4 linked regions of the Oryctolagus cuniculus genome follow. The protein of the gene in region 2 interacts with the protein of the main gene of each other region in a biochemical or structural test. Links are inferred from orthologs where the notes say so. Each region holds a gene or a part of one and is shown on either strand. Other genes may lie near its edges.

Region 1 (4,098 bases), on a different chromosome or scaffold from region 2:
ATCTTCTTTGAGTATTTTAACCAAATTCTGCTAAGTATTTTCCTTGTACCTAGCTTTCCTAACATAATGGCTTCAATTTCACATCTATCAATTTGCATGTTTATGTGCATTCTTTAAATGAGTAAGACTGCCACATAAGTAATAGGAAATGACAATTTCCTTCTAATAAATTGTTCTCCATATTTTCTTCATTGAAATATTTTCTTCTATACCTTACTATTTCCTATATTTAAAAATGCCTTAGCCTCTTTTCAGCTTTGTAAAAATCTTACTGACTCTTAAAAAGCATAACAGCATAGACAATAATTTTAGAGTTTACTTAAAGAATCCTAATGGAAGTTTCCTTTTCCAGGATAATATACCATATCAAGAAAGCATAACACACACACACACACATATATATATATATATATTATGAAAAAGCTTGTAGGTAAGAATTATTTATGTAATGCATACCATGTCTTTTTAGTACATATGACATTCTAATTTATAATGACATAACTTTGTTATTGCAGAACTAATATTAGAATACAAAATATTAATCAAATTGAGTTTATGATTACTCCAGGCTAGCATTAAATTGTGTCTCAAAATATAAAATAACTTTAACCCTTTGTTTATGTATATAAATACCTTAGTTTCATGATTTTAAGAAATTTTAACATAAAATTTATGGGTGATTTATGTATGTGAATTAATTCCAATTGTAGATATTTTTATCTCAAATACTTACACATACTATTCACTTCCACTGAGTTTTACATTTAAGTTTTTACTTTTCATTATTTGTTAAAAGCATTCAAAAGGAACTACCTTTACATAGGATTCTGTAGTGTTTGTTTGATCATTCATTACTACAATTTGACAATAGTTCCAGCAGTTGATCTTACCATCAGATAATATTTAATCTCATTTGTTGTGTGTGATAATTATAAAATAGATACTTAGGTTTCTTCATATTTATGTAGTATGTTATGTAGTTTAGAACAGAATAGACTATAAGAGTTAGAAAGTACCTTAGAAATCATCTGTATACATCCCATGTTTTAAAAATGGAAAAATTGAACATTACAAAAACTAAGAGATTATACCAAAGTCATTCACACACAGGAATTGGACCTACGTGTTATAAGTCCACCAGAGTACTATCATCTCCACTAGACTCCATTAACTATGACAAATCTCAGTGAATACATTGATGTCTACAAGTCAAATCCTTTTGCTTATATAAAACTTCCTCCAAATACTCATTTGCTTAGCTAAAAGTCAGTATAACTAGAACAATCTTCTAGAATTAACATACCTTTATTAATGCCAATAATAATAATAAAACCATAACTTAATTCATTAAATGGCCTTAACATCATGTATCAATTATAATTTTAAAGATCTCTCACTTTGACAATGGAAATTTATTGGCTGATTAGGTAAGAAGCCTAAAAGCAACTCAGTAAACAGCAAAAGTTTTAAGTAACTATTTCAAGCCTGGCACTGTTCTAGGTATGTGTGTTTACACCATCATTCCCATGTATTCCTTTATAACTGACTTTAACACACACATTATAAAATATGTACCATTAACATTGTCCTAGTGCTAGTAATGCAACAAAAATTCATGTTCATTGAGATATTTTAAATCTTTAATGTGTATGTTGAGATATATTTTGCCCCACTAAATTTAATATTATTGAAATTGGCTACTAATCCTGTTAAATGAAAAACCCATCCCTTAAAATTTCATCATGAATAGAAAAACTGATCCTTGGGGAATATATCTTTTCAACTGGAAATCATTGAATTAATATCTCTTCCAATTCATTTTTATTTCCTCACACTTATGTTTATCTTAAGGCAACATATAACTTGTGTGATATAGAAGATTTGGTTAAAGAAAATGTTAGAAGAAATCTATTTTTCTGTGTAGGTATATAATTAAGCAATTGTATAAGTTCATTATGACTTGACTGGATAAGGATACCATAGACTCCCTTCTGTTTCATAACTACACACAATTGGATAAGAATGCATTTTTAAACACAGTTTAAGTATTTTACATCATGAAATATTCTTTGAAAGGAAATCAAATCAATAAAAATAAATGAATTTTGTTTCTCACAGGAGTGATAAGTAGTTTTAGTGAGCATTTACTTAGTACTATATGACATTCCCTAATGAGTTTTGCTAGAAAATTATAAATCACATTTCATTGTGAATAATATATTTTACATTTTGCTTTATTTGTGAGCATTTTGAGATTAGGACATGCAACATTTATTTTCAAATTGTCTTTTGTTATCAATTCAAATATAATATTTATAATATTCATAATAATATTTTCCCTGTTCTAGAGGATATTTTTAAGGACATAGTTCAACTATCTCAAGTTAAAGAATTAGGTGACATTTCACTTAATTGCTTTAAAAGGAAAATGAGAAAGCATGTCCCCTGAAAATTGATCCTTTAACAGATTGTTAAAGTTCATAAGCAGTGCTTTAAACAAAAGACGTTACTTACTGTAATTGTTCTTCATCTCTTGAGTCCCTTTTACTTTGCCTCGTTTATCAATCCTCAGATACCACTGTGTTCGACAGAAAAGTCTTCTCACTCTTATATCCCCTCCTTCCATGTAATCATAACTTCTTGTATGTCGCTCAGGGCTGGAACAGTTCACATTTGCAGCCATTTGCTCTGGAGTCATGTCATTGCAAGCTAAAGATATAGTGGCCACTAGACAGATAATGTGAAAGCATGATCTGTAGAGCAAAGTTGGCAGGATCCATGTCAGTATCCATTTGTGCATTATAGTGTAGTGCTCCGGGTGTTCATGAATAACATAATGAAAATTAAATCTTGAGTTGATTGTTATTCCTAGGTCATTGACCTCTTCCTATCTTTGAATTGCAGATTGATTTAAGAAAGAGTAGTTGCTCTTTCCAAATGTTAGACTTATCCTTTTAGTTCCTGATAAAATATAGGATTCCTCCTTAAGTAACTCTGATATATCCTTATAAAAACAGGTTGTAATAAACTCAGTTGCTGCGATGCTGTTTGCTACTTGGCTTCTGTTTATAATGAGAGATTGGGAATGGGGAAGGGAGAAGAAAAGGAAGATAAAAATACTATGTATAAATTTCAGTGGCTAAATAGTATTATAACATGCAATGTAACTTATAGTACAAAGATACATTTAAAACAGCTTTCATAGAGGATGTCAGCATCTTTACCATTCTACATGTAGATTTATAAAAACTGTGCATTAATAGAGACAAATAAGAATTTGACTGTTCATATAAGAATATAAGAATTCATATGAGAATATGTCCATTCATTCCGGTTGCTATTTTGTAAGAAACATCCTGTACTTACAGCTATTTATTTAAATTAAGTTATACAGTTACTGTTAACAAAATATAAATGCTTTTCCTGGATTTCCTTATTATATGCTTTTACATTTTCAGTTATTTTCTCCTAAACAGCCCACATTTTCAAGTTAAGTGTCAGGAGTTCCCTGCAGAACTTCAGCTTTATCTTTACATAAGTTCTACAGCATAATTATATATTCACATAGCTCAGAAATCTGGTCACTTTACTTTTCCCTTCAACACTAAAACCAGAGAAAGAGACAAACTTTTAGAAAAACATTCAGCATTGTTTTTAAAGACAAATAACAGTAACTTACTTGTTCTGTTTATAACAGCTGGATACACAAGAATTCCATGTCTGTTGTCTGCCTTGTGCAACTTGAGCCTCTCTACTGTAGCTACAAACTATTTCTCAGCTGAGAAATTCTCCAGCAGAATCATAATTGTTTCCATAAATCAACAGGCAAGAGGATTTTCTTTCTGTGTGTGAGCGCGTGTATGCTTGTGTGTGTGTGTGTGGAGCCTTTTTATTCAGCGCTTTTCGATAAATACCTTTGCTGACCTCATTGGAAGCAATTAAAACTTAACCAGTGAGCTGTTAGTTGAATACAACAGCAAGAATAAAAAGAGGCTTGTATAGTATTCAGTGGTCATGAGAGGGAGCTATGAACATGGTTTATGTGTAAATCCACAAACGGGTACCTACTTTGAAAATAGATCTGATTCTGAGGTAGTT
Region 2 (6,216 bases):
CAGCCCAGGGGTTTGTTCCACTCCCTCTGTGGTGCTCCGGAAGACAGGGATCCCAGGAAGCTTACAGAGAAATCCCCACCAGGTTCCACTTGTCAGGACTCATTTTCAAACGCAGAAGTGGATTTCAATCCCTCGCCAGAAGACGGAACAGAATCGGAACACAGTCGAAGCGGCTATCCAAAAAGGGGGGGCAAGACCAGAAGTCCCCTGCACCGACCAAACGGCAGCGGACGGCTAAACGTCTCCAACCTCAGCAGAGGGGTGGAGAAGCGCAGACTCGGATGAATAATGCAAGAGTTTATTAATGATGATGATGATGTGTGAATTACGCTGACATGCTGGCTCGGCCAATAACCTATTTATTTCTATTTATTTTAAATTTGTCTTTGACACAGAGACAAGAGAAAGACACAGAGAAAGACAGGGAAGGAGCTCCCACTGGCTGCTTCACTCCCCCAGATATCCACAAAGCCTGCGGAAGCCAGGAGCCAGGAATGGAATCCAGGTCTCCCACGTGGATGGCGGGAACCCAGTTACTTGAGCCATCACCACTGCCTCCCGGGGTCTGCCCTAGCAGGAAGCCGGAGTCCGAAGCCTGAGGCTGGTACCCAGCCCAGGTACCGGGATGTGGCACACAGGAGTCTCAATCTATCTATTCTGTTCACCCAACGGATACCAGGCAGGGACTTTTCCCAGGAAGTTTAAAATATTCCTAATAACTTTAAACTCATTCATGTCGTCAGTGACAGAGAATTTGATTCAAACAGTCCCACAAAATGATACCCCAAGTTCAGGCTTCAGACCCCATGAACCACACTTCCTAAGGCTGGGGGGGGGGGGCAGGCAGGAGCGAGAACTTTAATACAAAAATCTCTAACCCGGGCTTGCTGCGTGCCAACTTGATGTTTCAAATTATGCTGAGGAGATTTCCACACCGCTGGCACCTCCCTAAAGGTCTACCATAAAAATTGTTCCTTCCAGTCCTGGGGTTCAAGTGGGTGCAAGTGAAGAGGTTCCCAGAGCAGGGATAAGGAAAGCACAGGTGACAGGCTGCCATCCACAGCAAAGGCAGGAGGAGAGCGCGTTGTGCACGTGTCCGTGTGCGCCTGTGCAGCTCCAGGGACTTCCCTAACTTCTCTTCCCCTTCAAGTCAAGAGCCTTCAGACAGGCTGTGTGTATCCCTACAGCCATGTGGGAGGGGAGCACAGAGCATTCCTGTGCATCTACAGAATGCAGGGGAATTTTCCGCCTCTAACGCTTCAGGAGCAATCTCACATCCCGCAGCGCAAGGACTGACCCCAGGCTGCTCCCCCGGCCGCTCCACCCACCTGCACAGCCAAGAAAGGAGGACAGTGGCCAGTGCCCGCGGCAGACCCCAGGGAAAACCTGAATTTCCGTCAGTCTCCAGGTTCAGGCCCCGCGGCGGTCCTCCGCCCCAGCTCTTTGCGAGGCCCAGGCCCCCGGGGCGGCAGGTACTGGAGTGGACACCAGGCCCAGGCGACCCCCCGGGCAGGATAATGAGGTCCCGGGGCTCGGTGTTGGGAACACAGGCCCAGCATGCCGCTGGCGGCCACAAGCCCGGCTTCCGGCCTGCACAGCCATACTCCTTCCCGGGGTCTGAGCCTCAGCGAAAGCCTGTTTATTTTTCCCCTTGAAAGGGAACTCTCTGCTCAGCCCGCGCGCCGCTGGAGCTGTCACCCTCCCTCTGATGGATGGCTCTCGTCCACCGCCGCCGCCCCCCCAACCCCGGCACAAGTCTGCCCCCCCAAGACGCGAGCTGGGACTAGCGCAAAGAGCCCCGCGGGCGCCTGGCCCTGCTCCGGGAGCCACAGCTAACAGCCCCAAACCCCAAGCCCACGCGCCCCGAGAGGCCGATAGAGGGGCCACCTGCCCCTCCGCTCCTGGGCGGACTTCGCGCGGGAAAGTCAACAGCGCCAGGGCAGGGGCGCCTCCACCCCCAGCCCCCTTGCTCCAGGCCTCCCAACTTCACCCCAGAGCCGAGGAGGACAGGCGATCCGCCGGGGAGTCCAGCCTAGGGGAGCAAGTCCGCAACACGTGGAAATCCCAGCAAACGCGGCCCCAGACCCGCGCCGACTCCGCATCAGCGCCCGCAGCCCCGGGCGCACGCCCCCAAAGCCGCGGCCCGGGCGCTCCCCGCCGCCAACCCGCTCCACGGTCGCGCAGCTTCCCCGGCACGGCCTGGAATCTCCAGTTTTTCTCGCCCCTTCTCGGGGCGCTAAAGAGCTTGGGGAAATCTGCATTTTAATTGACATTCCAGGGAGCGGGAGAGGGGCGCCTGATTGCTTTTCTATTCAAACTAAACAGGCTTTTCAGATGAAAATGAGTTCGAGGCCGGGGGAAGATTTACGGGGATTTGGGACGCGGGGGACAATGGGGTTTTAAGCGTGGACAGCGCTTCACGCCCGCAGTGCAAGGGGTACCCCGAGGGGGAGGTCCCCCCAGGTGGGGAGCGAGGAGGCACCGTCCCGGGACCAGTTCGCGAGGCCCGGCGCCCTCGGCCGCGTCCCCGGCGCCGCCCGGTGCTGCAGGAATGGGCGCGCAGGTCGGGACTCGCCGCGCTGTCGACATCGGCGGCGGCGGAGCGGGCGGGCCGAGGGGGAAACGTCGGTCCAGGTCGCCCCCTAGCCCCAGGAGCGCCGAGCTCGCGCAAGGGCGCCCCGCACCGAAACCTGGGAACCCGAAAGACGGCCCCCGCAGGCGCCACCCCTCCGGGAGGTCGCCAGCCCCCCACCGCCGCCGCCGCCGCCGCCTCCAGAGGCTTCCTCCCGGGGAAGGCTTCCCTCCAGGACCTGGATGGGACGGGCACCCCGAAGATGCGCCTCCGGAGCCCCGGCCTGCGGGGGTGGCGCCCGCCCGACTTTGACAGCGAAGGGGTTGTCAGCGCCAGAGGCAGCGTCAGCACCTGGCGTGGGTGGTCCTCGGGTGCCAGCCCTCGGCTCGCACCCACCTCCCCAGCACCGACGCGGCCCGGGGCGCAGGACGCGGAGTGCCCCCTGCCCGCGCTCTCACTTCCCCGAAGCGCCCAGCGCGCCGATTACCTTGAATGGCAACGCTGCTCCGCGATCCGGGCAGTCCCCGCGCACGGCGCGGCTCGGGATGCGGCCGGAGACGCGCCCGGGAGAGCCTCCAAAGCCGAGCAAGAGGAGTCCCGGGGCGGAGGAGGGCGGTGGGCCCGGCCGGCGCGGAGGCTCCGCGGCTTCACGCGCACCGCAGGCTGCGGAGGCGCGCGGGCATCACGCCCGCCCGCTGCCCCTCGGGTCCGGGGAAGCGCGGTGAAGAAAGGGCTCGGCGTCCGCTCCGCCAAACTTCGCTCGCAAGTTGCAGGCGCCCGGAGAGCGCGCGCGAGCTGCGGCCTCGGGGCCCCCCGGTGCGCGCGGGCCGCCCGCCAGCCCGGAGAGCGGTGGCCGCGCCGGGCCTCGCACGCCGCAGGCAGCCCCCGGGCGCCCGAGCTTTGTGGCGGCCGCGCGCGCTCGCCGCTCGCCGCTCGCCCGCCGGTCCGCTCCGCTCCGCGCCCGCCCGCTCGGCTCTCCGCGGCGCTCTCCGCGGCCCCGCCGCCGCCGCCGCCGCCGCCTCCTCGCTGCGGGTCACGCCCCCGCTGAAACCCGAGCCGCTTCCTGGACGGCGGCGCCCGCTCTGCCAATCAGCGCCGCGCGCCCGGGCCGCCCCGCGCCGCGCGCGGCTCCCGACGCCTGCGAGGCGCCCGCGACGCCCGGCCCCGGTGGCCGCGGAGCGGTGCCGCCGAGGCCCCCGAATAAGGCCTGCTCCCGCGGCGCGCCCGGGCGAGCTGGCCCGCGGCCGGCCTCACGCTGGCTCCGGGCGGGATGGAAAGCCAGCGACACGAGGTGCTGCCCCTCCGAGGCACGGAAGCCTCGCCCGCACCGTGCGAGGCGGCGGAGCGCCTCTGCACCGTTTCTCTGGCCTTGCGCACAGAGGGCAGAGCCCTGGCCGGGAAGCTCCCGCGGAGCCCCGCGCCCCACTTCGGGAGAGGCGTGAGCGGGTCGGAGAGGTCACCCCGTTGGGCCGGGGTCACCCGGAGGACCCCGCAGAGCCTGCCCTGGAATCTGGCTCTTTTGAGAAAAGGCCCCAAGCAGCAGTAGCAACAGCAGCGGGCTGTTTCGTCACCCACGAGCATATTGGGTTAATAAACAGAAATGCGAAACTCTCAAGGCTGCCAGGAACAGCCTGACCCTAAGCAGACCCTAACCTGCCTCTGAATCTCAGATGCTTTGGCGGCACCAAGCTGTCACTGATTAAAGTCCGGGTTTTCTGTGTGCCCTTTCCGCTAGGCCGTGTCTGGGGATAATTTGTTTTTAAATCTACTTTCCCAGACAGCTCCTGAGCCATCTCAAGACCCTACAGATAAAACCCTTAATTATTTGTTCTTAGAAAAATGTCACCTAACCCAGAAGTCCCTGAAAAGCCTCTTGGGGGGGAAGGTGGACGGGGCAGGGAACAGCCGACCCCCACACACACACCCCGGGTGCACCCCACAGCCAGCGGGAAGATGTGTTTGTTGGCCAGGTGATGAGACAATCGGTTTCATTCAGCTGCAGCCTTGGAAACTTCTATGCAGATGGCTTCAAATCTGGGAGTGACAAATCCATCTACCTGCCTCAGGCCACAGCTGTGAAATTGTATTTGGGGAGGCTGACAGCAAAAACAAGAGCTGGGCAAGTCAAAGGATCTGTGTAGATGCTTGTTCGATGGGGCGTGCTGTTGGCAAAGTCCTCTGGCTGAGCTGGCCTGTCCCAGCCCGGCTTTGTCATTAGCAGGTGTCTCAGCCAGGTGACACCCAGCCTCTGCCCTTACAGGGGCCGCTCAAGCCAGAGATCCTGGGAGAGACCAGGGACCGTGGCCCAGCGTCTGTCTGAGCGGAGGCTGGCGCTGACGTCTTTATGTTCCCCACCGATGGGAAACAAGTGGCTCAGGACGAAGCCCGTGCCCAGGAAAGGCCACTGGCGCATTCTCACATAAATTACCCATGCAGGAAGCCGCTGTCCCCACCGGCCAGCCGTCGGTAGGGCCCGGCACTCTGAATGCAAACGAAGCCTGGCACAGAGAGTGACACAAGACGTGTACGCTCGTGTCCAGACGCAGCCTGCAGAATTGACTCTTTATGGAGGTGCAAAGACCAGTGCGTCAGAAGCGCCTCACTCCCATTAGGAGCACTCATTTCTGGGCCAGAGAAGCCCAGAGCCTGCACCAGCAAACTCCGCCGTTTTGGGAAAAGAAAAAGCATGTTTGGAATTTTTTCGAAAAAAATCAACTCTGTCATCATACTGAGGCTGCGAGTGACCTCAGACGGTCCGGTCCAGGAAAGCTGTCACACCAGCGAGGCTCTGAATGAGCGAATAATCTCTTGGTAGCTCGCTCTCGCTCTCGCTCTCTCTCTCCCTGTCTTCCCACTTCAAGCCGCTGGAACTGCTTTTGTCAATGACCTCGTGAATGGTGTCGCTAATCAGCCCATTAATGCGCTTCCCCAGCAGAGTGTGAATAGGTAAATAAGCCCCAGTCTGCGCAGTGCTGGGACCAGGGCAGCAAAGCCAGCGAGAACTAAAGGTGACAGTTGGAACTGCACCAGGAGCACCCGCACCAGGTCTCGCTGAAAGCCCCACCAGACAAGGCCACTTTCACAGTCCCTGCACCCCCTACGAGGCCCCTTTCTTCCCATTGTCCCCCTCGTTCAAAATGTCTTGAGTAGTCACCCTTTTCTCCCCCGAAGCCCTTGCGAACGATACATCAACGAGGAGGAAGAAAGCCCAGGACACCAAGCGTGAGGCCCCGGCCCTTCCAAGGAACAAATCGCGCTGCCGACCCGGCGGTGGCAGAGAGACCAGGGAAGGGGGTGGGGGCAGCCTCCTGGCCACAGCGAAAACGCTCTCCTTTCAAGACCCGGAGTTTCTCTTTCCCCTCGCTCGCTCGCTTGCTCACTCTGCACCAGGCAGCTGTGCCTTCCCTGTAGAAAAGTCCGAAGCCCGAATGCTGCTGGCCTCCCGGCGTGGACCCGCGCTCCCTGCAGAACCGCGCATGTCCTCCTCGAAGCGACATCACAGTGATGTCCACGCGCACAGCAGCGCTGGAGGGGAGAGCGAGCACTAGCCCGGGGGCTCTGTGCGCACAGATGCCCTGGTGGCCAGAGCCCAGCTGGGGAGCTCGTGCTGTTGTTGCTGAACAGCGAAGTCATCGCATCACAAG
Region 3 (4,023 bases), on a different chromosome or scaffold from region 2:
GGTATAAAAGTGTGAGCTAGGAAATTGAAATCAGCACTGTGGGTTCATTTTTTAATATCCATGTTTTAATTAAAGAGCAAGACTTGTTTGATGTATGCCCTTTATTTGCTTAACTTTGCAATTAATAGCTACGGTAATAAGGACTAATTATATTAAATATAAAAATCTACTGTGATGTTTACCACATTGTTGAAATCTAATAAATAAGCTTTGCAATAAGTTATAAATAATGCGATTAATGTCCCGATTCTAGTATTAAATGGTTCTATTTCAAAGGCTCTGAATGCACAGGAAACTATAAGAGCTTACATGTAAAGCTGTTTTTTAAGTTACTCAATCAAATGCGTACTCTCACCTCTAAAAGTACAATTTTAATTCCTTTGTATTTTCTTCAGTTCACAATGAAATGCACATTATAAGGAATTTGGTTTGTATATCATAAGCTCTTATGGCTAATTCCTTCCAAGTAACAGTGGCAATTGTTTGACTCTCAAGTTCACCTAGAATCTCTGTCTTAGATTGGCAGGCAATTAGGTTGAAACATAGGGAACTGCTACTTTCACAGGTCCAGTGGATAAAATACTGACGTTCCAACAAAACGCAACTGTCCAACTGCCCTCCATAACATATATGCTTTGGACCAATATGTGTTTAGGCATTCCTTCCAGTGAAATTTCCCAGGTTAGAGTAATTCTTAGAAGAAGTGGTCCCGGAGGAATTGTCCCTTACTTCGGTTGTAATGGGTTCTCGCAGTATTCCCTTCTTTGTGCCCCTTAACTCTTGGCAAAGTTTCCGGAGCCTTGGACTTAGTTCTATCCATACCTGGGTTGTGAGTGAGTTTCTGCGAGCAACGCAGCTTCCGGAAGAGTGAGGAGTGAGCTGATGGTGCAGTAATATTGTCAAGTAGGACCCTTTAAGCATTGCGTCCGAAGATAGAAAAAAACCAGGCCCTTTATGGTAAAGTGCAAAGGAAATTGCACAGAAAAGAAAACAGACAGCAGGGTATTTGGCAAAATTGTATGGTAAAAACCTTTGGGATCTCAATCAAGTGCGTTCGCTTTGAAGTGCACGCGCGATTCAGTCAGGGACTCATGTTAGCAATTAGAAATCGGTCATTTGGGTCCCTGATTTCATTTGCGCCAAGAGAGAGGCGACTTTTAAGGGTGACGATAAATCTCCCTGAGCTTAAAAGGCTGAGAGGGCCAAAGTGTGAACTTTTTACTTCAGCAACGGAAGCGAGAAATCAGTGATTCATTAAAGCGGAGACCTCCTTGGAAGCGGGCAGAAGAGAAGGAGAGGAAGCTCATTAAGTCTCCCTTTGCCGTGCTCGCTCCCACCAGTTTATAATCTGCTGTTTGGGAGGGTTTATCCTCAGCATCTTCTGCTTTCTCCGCAGCCCTCCCTCCTTGGGGAAGACAGAGGGGCTGGGGAAGAAGAAGGAAGAAAAAAAGTCAGTAAGCACCAGGCTCCAGGTGGCTCTCAAGAACTTCACTGCCAAAAGGAAAAACAACAACAGCAGCGCAGGAAAACAAGTGAGAAAGGGGCTCCCGACAGGGGATTGGTTCAGGCTGCCAGACGGCACAACTGGCGAAGCTGGAGGACGCCGCTCGCGCTGGCGGCCGGCGCGGAGAGCGCAGGGCGCTGGGGCAGCGAGAGGAGCCGGAGGCGGCCGCCGAGGCTGCGGCGGCGGGGCCGGGACGCGGAGCCCCCGAGCTCCGGGCGCAGGCGGCGCGCTCTCCCCGGGCTCCCCCCGCCCGGCCTCCTCCCTCCCCCCCGCCCCGGCGTTCCCAGCAGCCGAGGGTTTCAGATGTCCCACCGCCTTTTGACCCCCTCCCCCCGCTCCTCCACCCCTGCAAATGAGGTTTGACCAGCAGAGGCAGAGCCCACCTCTGGCTCGGAACCACCACTGACATTTAGACTCTGAGCTTCAACCTGTTTACAAGCGGACTTTCCAAAGGAAGGGGGGTGGGGGAGAGGGCCCAAACAAAAACACCAGCCGCCACCCCCCTCCCCCCCAAAAGGAGCGACTTTCTGGAGGCTTCACATCAGCAGGCACCACCAAAAAGAGCAAGGAAGACGGGGAAGAAAACAACGAAACAACGGCGACCGGGCAGCTGCCTGCAGAGCTGACATCCCCAAAGGGACACGTTTTCTGCAGCGGCCAGCAGGCTGAGGCTCTGCGGAGGGGGACCAGGAGGTGCCAACCGCCGAGGGGCGCAGGGATCCCCCCCTCCCCCTCCCCACCCCCCTTAGGTTTTGTTCACCGTGCTGTCATCTGTTTTTCAGACCTTTTTTGCATCTAACATGGTGAAGAAGGGAGTGAAGAAGAGAACAAAGTGACTCCTGGGGGAGCGAAGAGCGCCGGTGACCCACAGCGCCGGCTCCCGCTGCTGCGGCCACCCACGTCCACTGTGCCCGGGCAGACCCCGCGAGGCGCAGGCAGCGGATCCGCGGACGGAGCGAGCCCAGGCTGCCGGCCCTCCGGAGGAGTTATGGATGTTGGTGCATTCACTTCTGGCCAGATCCGCGCCCGGAGGGAGCTAACCAGCAGCCGCCACCTCCAGCTGTCTCCTTGCCTTGCACCAGGTCTCACCCTTCCAGTATGTTCCTTCTGATGAGACAATTTCCAGTGCCGAGAGTTTCAGTACAATGTGGAAATGGATACTGACACATTGTGCCTCAGCCTTTCCCCACCTGCCCGGCGGCTGCTGCTGGTGCTTCTTGTTGCTGTTCTTGGTGTCTTCCGTCCCTGTCACCTGCCAAGCCCTTGGTCAAGACATGGTGTCACCAGAGGCCACCAACTCTTCCTCCTCCTCCTCCTCCTCTTCCTCCTCCTCCTCTTCCTCCTCCTCCTTCTCTTCTCCTTCCAGTGCCGGGAGGCATGTGCGGAGCTACAATCACCTCCAAGGAGATGTGCGCTGGAGAAAGCTATTCTCTTTCACCAAGTACTTTCTCAAGATTGAGAAGAACGGGAAGGTCAGCGGGACCAAGAAAGAGAACTGCCCGTACAGTAAGTAACAAACGCGTGCTCCCTTCCTGCCAATTATCCACCTCCACCCCACGCGGGGGGGAAATCCGTTCCAGATGTGGCCAGCTAAATATTTACGTCGCCAACCCCTGTAAAATGATTAAGTGGAATACTTTCACACTAAATCACCCCCCCCCCCCGTGTATACATTGTGCGGCTGCATCCCCTCCCCTAGGCCCGCTCCCTGCACGCCCCCCACCCGGCGCCACCCTCTCGGTCTCTTCTCCCGGGCTTGTCACTCGCTGGACCGCGCAGGGCGCTCGCGAGTTGTGCAGGGCACCGATGCCCCTCTATGTCTGCACCGCCCTTCCCCATCGCGTCCGAAGGTCCCCTCTCTCCCTCCCTTCTGGAAGTGGCTCAAGTAAACACATTTTGTTTCTTTTCCTTGGCAATCTTGTGAAGAGTTTTGGGACAGGCTCCCCAAGCTGAAAATAATTATCCCCTGTCAGTTATAGGGGCTTTATGGGAACTTTATTTAAGAAAGAAAAGTCATTTCCACTGGCTGCCTAACACGGAGATAGGAGCGAAAAGCCCTTTTCTGGTTTTGATTTTTTTTTTTTTTTTTTGGTCCCTCTTGTTGTGAGCGATTGCAGTCCGTGAAGTGAGCTTTTCAGGCAACTCCGCTGCTATTTGTCTTCTGCCTGCCTTCTCTCTTGGTAACATGATGCTCGTGTCTGCATTGTCAATAGCATATGCGCTGCTTTGTGGTGTCCCGTTGTACTGTTTGGTCTGAAACCTCTCATATTGCAGAGCCCTACTACTACAGCATTGTAAACATCTGGGGCTGGATTCACACAGACCTCACACAAATTTCATTGTCATCCTTTTATTTTTCAAAGTAAGAGTCATACGTCTGTTTCCATGGCTATAGTTTATCCCATAGGATGAGGCTTTCTGCTAAAGACAGTTGATGCCAGGGTCCCTGGATTTCTCTCTCACCTTTTCCCTTGTTTTCCCTCTTTCTTTCTTGCAAGGGTGTGGGCTGGGCAGAGGGA
Region 4 (4,017 bases), on a different chromosome or scaffold from region 2:
CTCCACATGCCCCTGGTTCTAGTACCCATCTCTGGGGGGTCCTTGGAGGAAACAACCCACAGCCTGGGGTTACAGAAACATCATCTGTTCACACAGGAAGGCGAGAGAGAAAGGAGGGCAGAGCTGAGTGCCCATCCGGCCACAGCTCAGGCATGCAGTGAGTGCAGTAACACACTGAAAGATCTGGGGTTTTTTCAAAATCCCCTAACCCCCTCCTCCCACTAGAGACCTGCGCAAAAGCAGCCAAGCTCAGGCCTGGCAAGGCACAGAGGCAGGAAACCAAGGGGGGAGCCACTGTCGGCTCCCTGTGGCCACCGGACACAGGACACAAAGGGCTAGACCCCAAACAGGCTACCCGCTCTGAGACAGGAGTACCTGACGCCAAGGCACTTGGACTGGCCTGTCTGGGGCCAAGCTTCAGGTGGGTGCTTCCAAGTGCAAGGGCACAGCCCCTTTACCCAAGAGCCTGCCCCGGCTTTGGGCACCGGCATAGGCCTCCAAAAACTCAGCTTTGGGACAAAAGCAGCAGCAAGTAAAAGCGGCCTTTCTCAGGCTTCGCCAAGACAGAAAGGACCACCTTCTTCTCCCTCCCCAAGCAGATGAGCAGGCCTAGCCCTGTTTCAAAACCAGCCCTACCTCAACATCTGCCTAATTTTTACCCAGGGAACCCAAAGGTTCCCTTGCAATGAAGAGCCCAGCCTTGGGACCCAGGGAATCTCGCACCGCTCTTTCTGCAGAGGGGGAGGGCAGTGACCCTCGGGCCCCGATCGCGGGCAGGGTGGGCGCAGCTTGGCTCCCCTCGCCCGCCACCGCCGCTCCTTCCCGGGACTGGAGGGGCTCGACGCCTGCCCCGCTGGACTCCAGTCCGCCAGGATTTTTTAGGCCTCAGGGAAAGACGTCTGGAGGAGTCCCCCCAGCCGGGGGAGGGGGCGTCCTATCAGGTGACCGAGGATTTGGATGATCCCCGCCCCCCAGTGAGCACCGGAGCCGAGGCGGGGGCGGGTCCAGTGGGGGTGGGGAGAGCCCAAAGTTTGCCCAAGTCGCCAGGGAGGGCCGCGGCCGCGCGCGCCTCGCCAGCCCCGCGCGCGCAGCGGGCCCGGGGGCGGCACTTACTGGCCCCCTCGATCTTGTCGGCGCCGCGGCTCCACGTGATCTGGCGCGTCTCCAGTTTGACCTGGAAGGTCTTCCGCTCGGGCCGCTGCGACTTCTTGGAGTAGAACAAAGTCATGACGGTGCCCACCTCGAGGCTGCGGCAGAGGTGCAGCACCTCGGCTTCCGAGGGCGCGCCGGGAGCGCAGCCATTGGCGCAAGGGGACGCGGCGCCCGCCATGGCTCCGACGCTGGGGGCGGCGGCGGCGGCACAAGCCGGAGGAGCCGGGAGCAGGAGGAGGAGGAGGCGGCAGCTGAGGCGGCCGGCGACCGGGACCCGGCGGCGGCTCCTGCGGGCGGACACGGGGCGGAGCCTAAACACCGAAGGCGGGGCGGCCCGAGGATCCGCCCCGCCCGCGCGCCAGGAACAAAGGCGCCCGCGCGCCCGTGGGGAGGACCCCCGCCCCCGGCCCACCGCGCCTGCGCCCCGCGACCCCCGGCCAGGCCGCAAGCGGGGGCGCGGGGCGCCATGGTACGCCCCGCTCTCAAGCAATCCGTCCGTCGCTCGGCCCCGCAGAGCTTCCTCACGCGACCCCGGCAGGGCGCGGGGCCTCCACCGGCCCCGTCACGCACGGCAGCCCCGCCCACAGGCTGCAGGCCCGCGACCGACCGGCCCGTCAGTCAGGCGCTCGTGCACGCGAAGCCACCCGCCCACTGTCCCGCACAGGCCCGACCGCAGCCTCCGCGCCGCCCGCACAGCCACCTGGAGAAGATGTGAGGGTGCGACGCGCCCCTCGGGTCCGCCTGGCCAAACCCAATTACCTGGGCGAATTGCCCGGCGGAGGGAACCGGGCCAGGCCGGGCCGCCTCACACCCGCGGCGGCGGCGGCGGCGGCGGCGGCGGCGGAGGCGGGTTCTCCGCGCGCCCTCTTCGGGGAGGAGTGGGGGCGGGGCATCCCGAGGATTGGTCAGCGGGCTCTGATGGACAGCGTTCTGTCCCGCCCCCTCCCCCTGCCCGCGCAGAGCTGGCCCACAGGCCGCCCTTGCGAAGGCGAACCCCACGTCCGTCCTGCCCTTGCGTAGGTGCCCTTCCTCGGAGAAGCGCTTCGGGCGTGAGCATCCCCCGCAGGGCTCGTTAAACCCGCGCCCGCGCTGTCTGGAGACCTGACCTGTAGCCCCCAGCGGCCCTGTCTCTCTCCCTCTCTTGGCGTTGCCCGTTGCTCCTCGCCCTCGTTCCCCACGAGGCAGGACGCAGGTCGGATCCGTGAGGCGGGCTCAGGCCCTGCCTCACACCCCTCCTGCAGGTGCGCTCCTGAACTTTGGTTTTCCTGACCTCGCTCTGGACTCTGTCCTGGGCCAGTACCCATAGCGACCTGACTTCACGCAGTGCGCCGGTACCAGTGCCTCCACCTCCACGTCCCACTGTCCGCACCACGTTGCTACCTAATGCGGCTGCCTCACCCACACTCCCACACGGCTCCCCAGCCTTCGCTTTCTCAGAACATGGCACCAAACTCCTCTCGATTGCATAAGCCAAAAACCTGGCCAGTAACCTCGATTCCTCTGTCTGCCCCAGGTCAGATCCACCGAGGCCTGTTCACTTTGCCTGCAAGCCCACCAGGCCGTGGCCTCTCTCACCTGCGTCTGTTCTCCATGTTTAAATCTTTTAAAAGAAATAAAACCATGATCACCTACCTCTGGTCTACTATTCTCCCGCCCTGAGTGGCACACAGCAGGTTCTGATGGGCCTGGCCCCTTCCTATCTCCTGGCTTCTTCACTCTCTCTCCTCCCGTCAGCAGGCTTCTGTCTGGAATCATTCACCCTCTTCGTCTTCCTGAATGCTGTGAAAACTGAGGACATCTGCGGTCATGGGGAGGCATGCCTGACACGTGTTGCGCCAGGTGCTGCATTTCAGAGAGGCGCGGCCCAGCAGAGCTTTCCGGAGAAAGATCCAGGTGAGTTGGGATTTGTGAGGACAGGAGAGCATGTGTTCAGGCAACCGCACCCAGTACTAGGTGTGTGGAGCTGCCTCTGACTATCTCGCGGTGGTAGTAACTTGCGTGTGTGTGCATGCTCCTGCACTTTTGGTTCCTTCAAGTGTGGCCCCTAAGGCTCACAGCACTAGGCTCCTGTCAACTAAGGGCCAGCGGGGGAGCTGAGATGGACTGCCACCTAGTGACAAGCCTTTGAAGTGGGAGGCAGGCTGATCCTGATCACACGTGGTCCTCATAATCACCCTCTAATCAGGGACACTGGTCCCCAGTTTACTGATGAGGACGTTCAGAGAAGTTCTACATGACTTACCGAGCGGCCACGTCACTCACAACTGGGGACTTGAACCTATCCACCTCTGTTTTCTGCCTCACAAGAGGGCCTCTGGCTTAGGTAAGTCCTGGTGGTGAGCAGTCAGTGGGCATGAGGCTAGATGGCTACTGGCACAGGGAACCTGGCAGAACATTAGTGGTCAGAGCGTGGCTTGTACTCAAAGTGCCGCTGTCGCTGAGCTGCGAAGCGTGAGGAGAACAGGAGATCCAGCCCAGCCCCTCGGGGGATTAACAGACCTTAAACAAATAAGCACTCTGTTCTGTAAAGACACTTGTGATGAGGGCTCCAGAGGAAAAGAACAGATGAAAGAAAACACAGTGAGGTTGCCAGTGCGGCAGCTCACTAGGCTAATCCTCCGCCTGCGGCGCTGGCACACCGGGTTCTAGTCCCGGTCGGGGCGCCAGATTCTGTCCCGGTTGCTCCTCTTCCAGTCCAGCTCTCTGCTGTGTCCCGGGAAGGCAGTGGAGGGTGGCCCAGGTGCTTGGGCTCTGCACCCGCATGGGAGACCAGGAGGAAGCACCTGGCTCCTGAATCGGCGCAGCATGCCAGCCATAGCAGCCATTTGGGGGGGTGAACCAACAGAAGGAAGACCTTTCTCTCTG

Evidence for each region.
Region 1: the proteins of FGFR2 (region 2) and FGF7 form a complex in vitro, tested with the Homo sapiens proteins (3 studies listed by BioGRID). The link is inferred for Oryctolagus cuniculus from reciprocal best matches to the Homo sapiens genes FGFR2 and FGF7.
Region 3: the proteins of FGFR2 (region 2) and FGF10 are reported together in a solved structure, tested with the Homo sapiens proteins (3 studies listed by BioGRID and IntAct, with this or other methods). The link is inferred for Oryctolagus cuniculus from reciprocal best matches to the Homo sapiens genes FGFR2 and FGF10.
Region 4: the proteins of FGFR2 (region 2) and PLCG1 form a complex in vitro, tested with the Homo sapiens proteins (2 studies listed by BioGRID and IntAct). The link is inferred for Oryctolagus cuniculus from reciprocal best matches to the Homo sapiens genes FGFR2 and PLCG1.

What each region holds. Positions count from the first base shown.
Region 1 is NC_091443.1:72,203,095-72,207,192, reverse strand, and holds the start of FGF7 (fibroblast growth factor 7 precursor), read right to left. Parts: upstream 2,801-4,098; coding exon 2,515-2,800; intron 1-2,514. UniProt on the Homo sapiens protein: Plays an important role in the regulation of embryonic development, cell proliferation and cell differentiation. Required for normal branching morphogenesis. Growth factor active on keratinocytes.
Region 2 is NC_091446.1:9,298,850-9,305,065, reverse strand, and holds the start of FGFR2 (fibroblast growth factor receptor 2), read right to left. Parts: upstream 3,545-6,216; 5' UTR 3,060-3,544; intron 1,610-3,059; exon of another isoform or gene 1,329-1,609; intron 1-1,328. UniProt on the Homo sapiens protein: Tyrosine-protein kinase that acts as a cell-surface receptor for fibroblast growth factors and plays an essential role in the regulation of cell proliferation, differentiation, migration and apoptosis, and in the regulation of embryonic development.
Region 3 is NC_091445.1:69,802,246-69,806,268, reverse strand, and holds the start of FGF10 (fibroblast growth factor 10), read left to right. Parts: upstream 1-1,223; 5' UTR 1,224-1,532; intron 1,533-1,644; exon of another isoform or gene 1,645-2,286; 5' UTR 2,287-2,649; coding exon 2,650-3,010; intron 3,011-4,023. UniProt on the Homo sapiens protein: Plays an important role in the regulation of embryonic development, cell proliferation and cell differentiation. Required for normal branching morphogenesis. May play a role in wound healing.
Region 4 is NC_091442.1:17,799,490-17,803,506, forward strand, and holds the start of PLCG1 (1-phosphatidylinositol 4,5-bisphosphate phosphodiesterase gamma-1), read right to left. Parts: upstream 2,801-4,017; 5' UTR 2,785-2,800; intron 2,038-2,784; exon of another isoform or gene 1,912-2,037; intron 1,868-1,911; exon of another isoform or gene 1,853-1,867; intron 1,440-1,852; 5' UTR 1,331-1,439; coding exon 1,114-1,330; intron 1-1,113. UniProt on the Homo sapiens protein: Mediates the production of the second messenger molecules diacylglycerol (DAG) and inositol 1,4,5-trisphosphate (IP3). Plays an important role in the regulation of intracellular signaling cascades.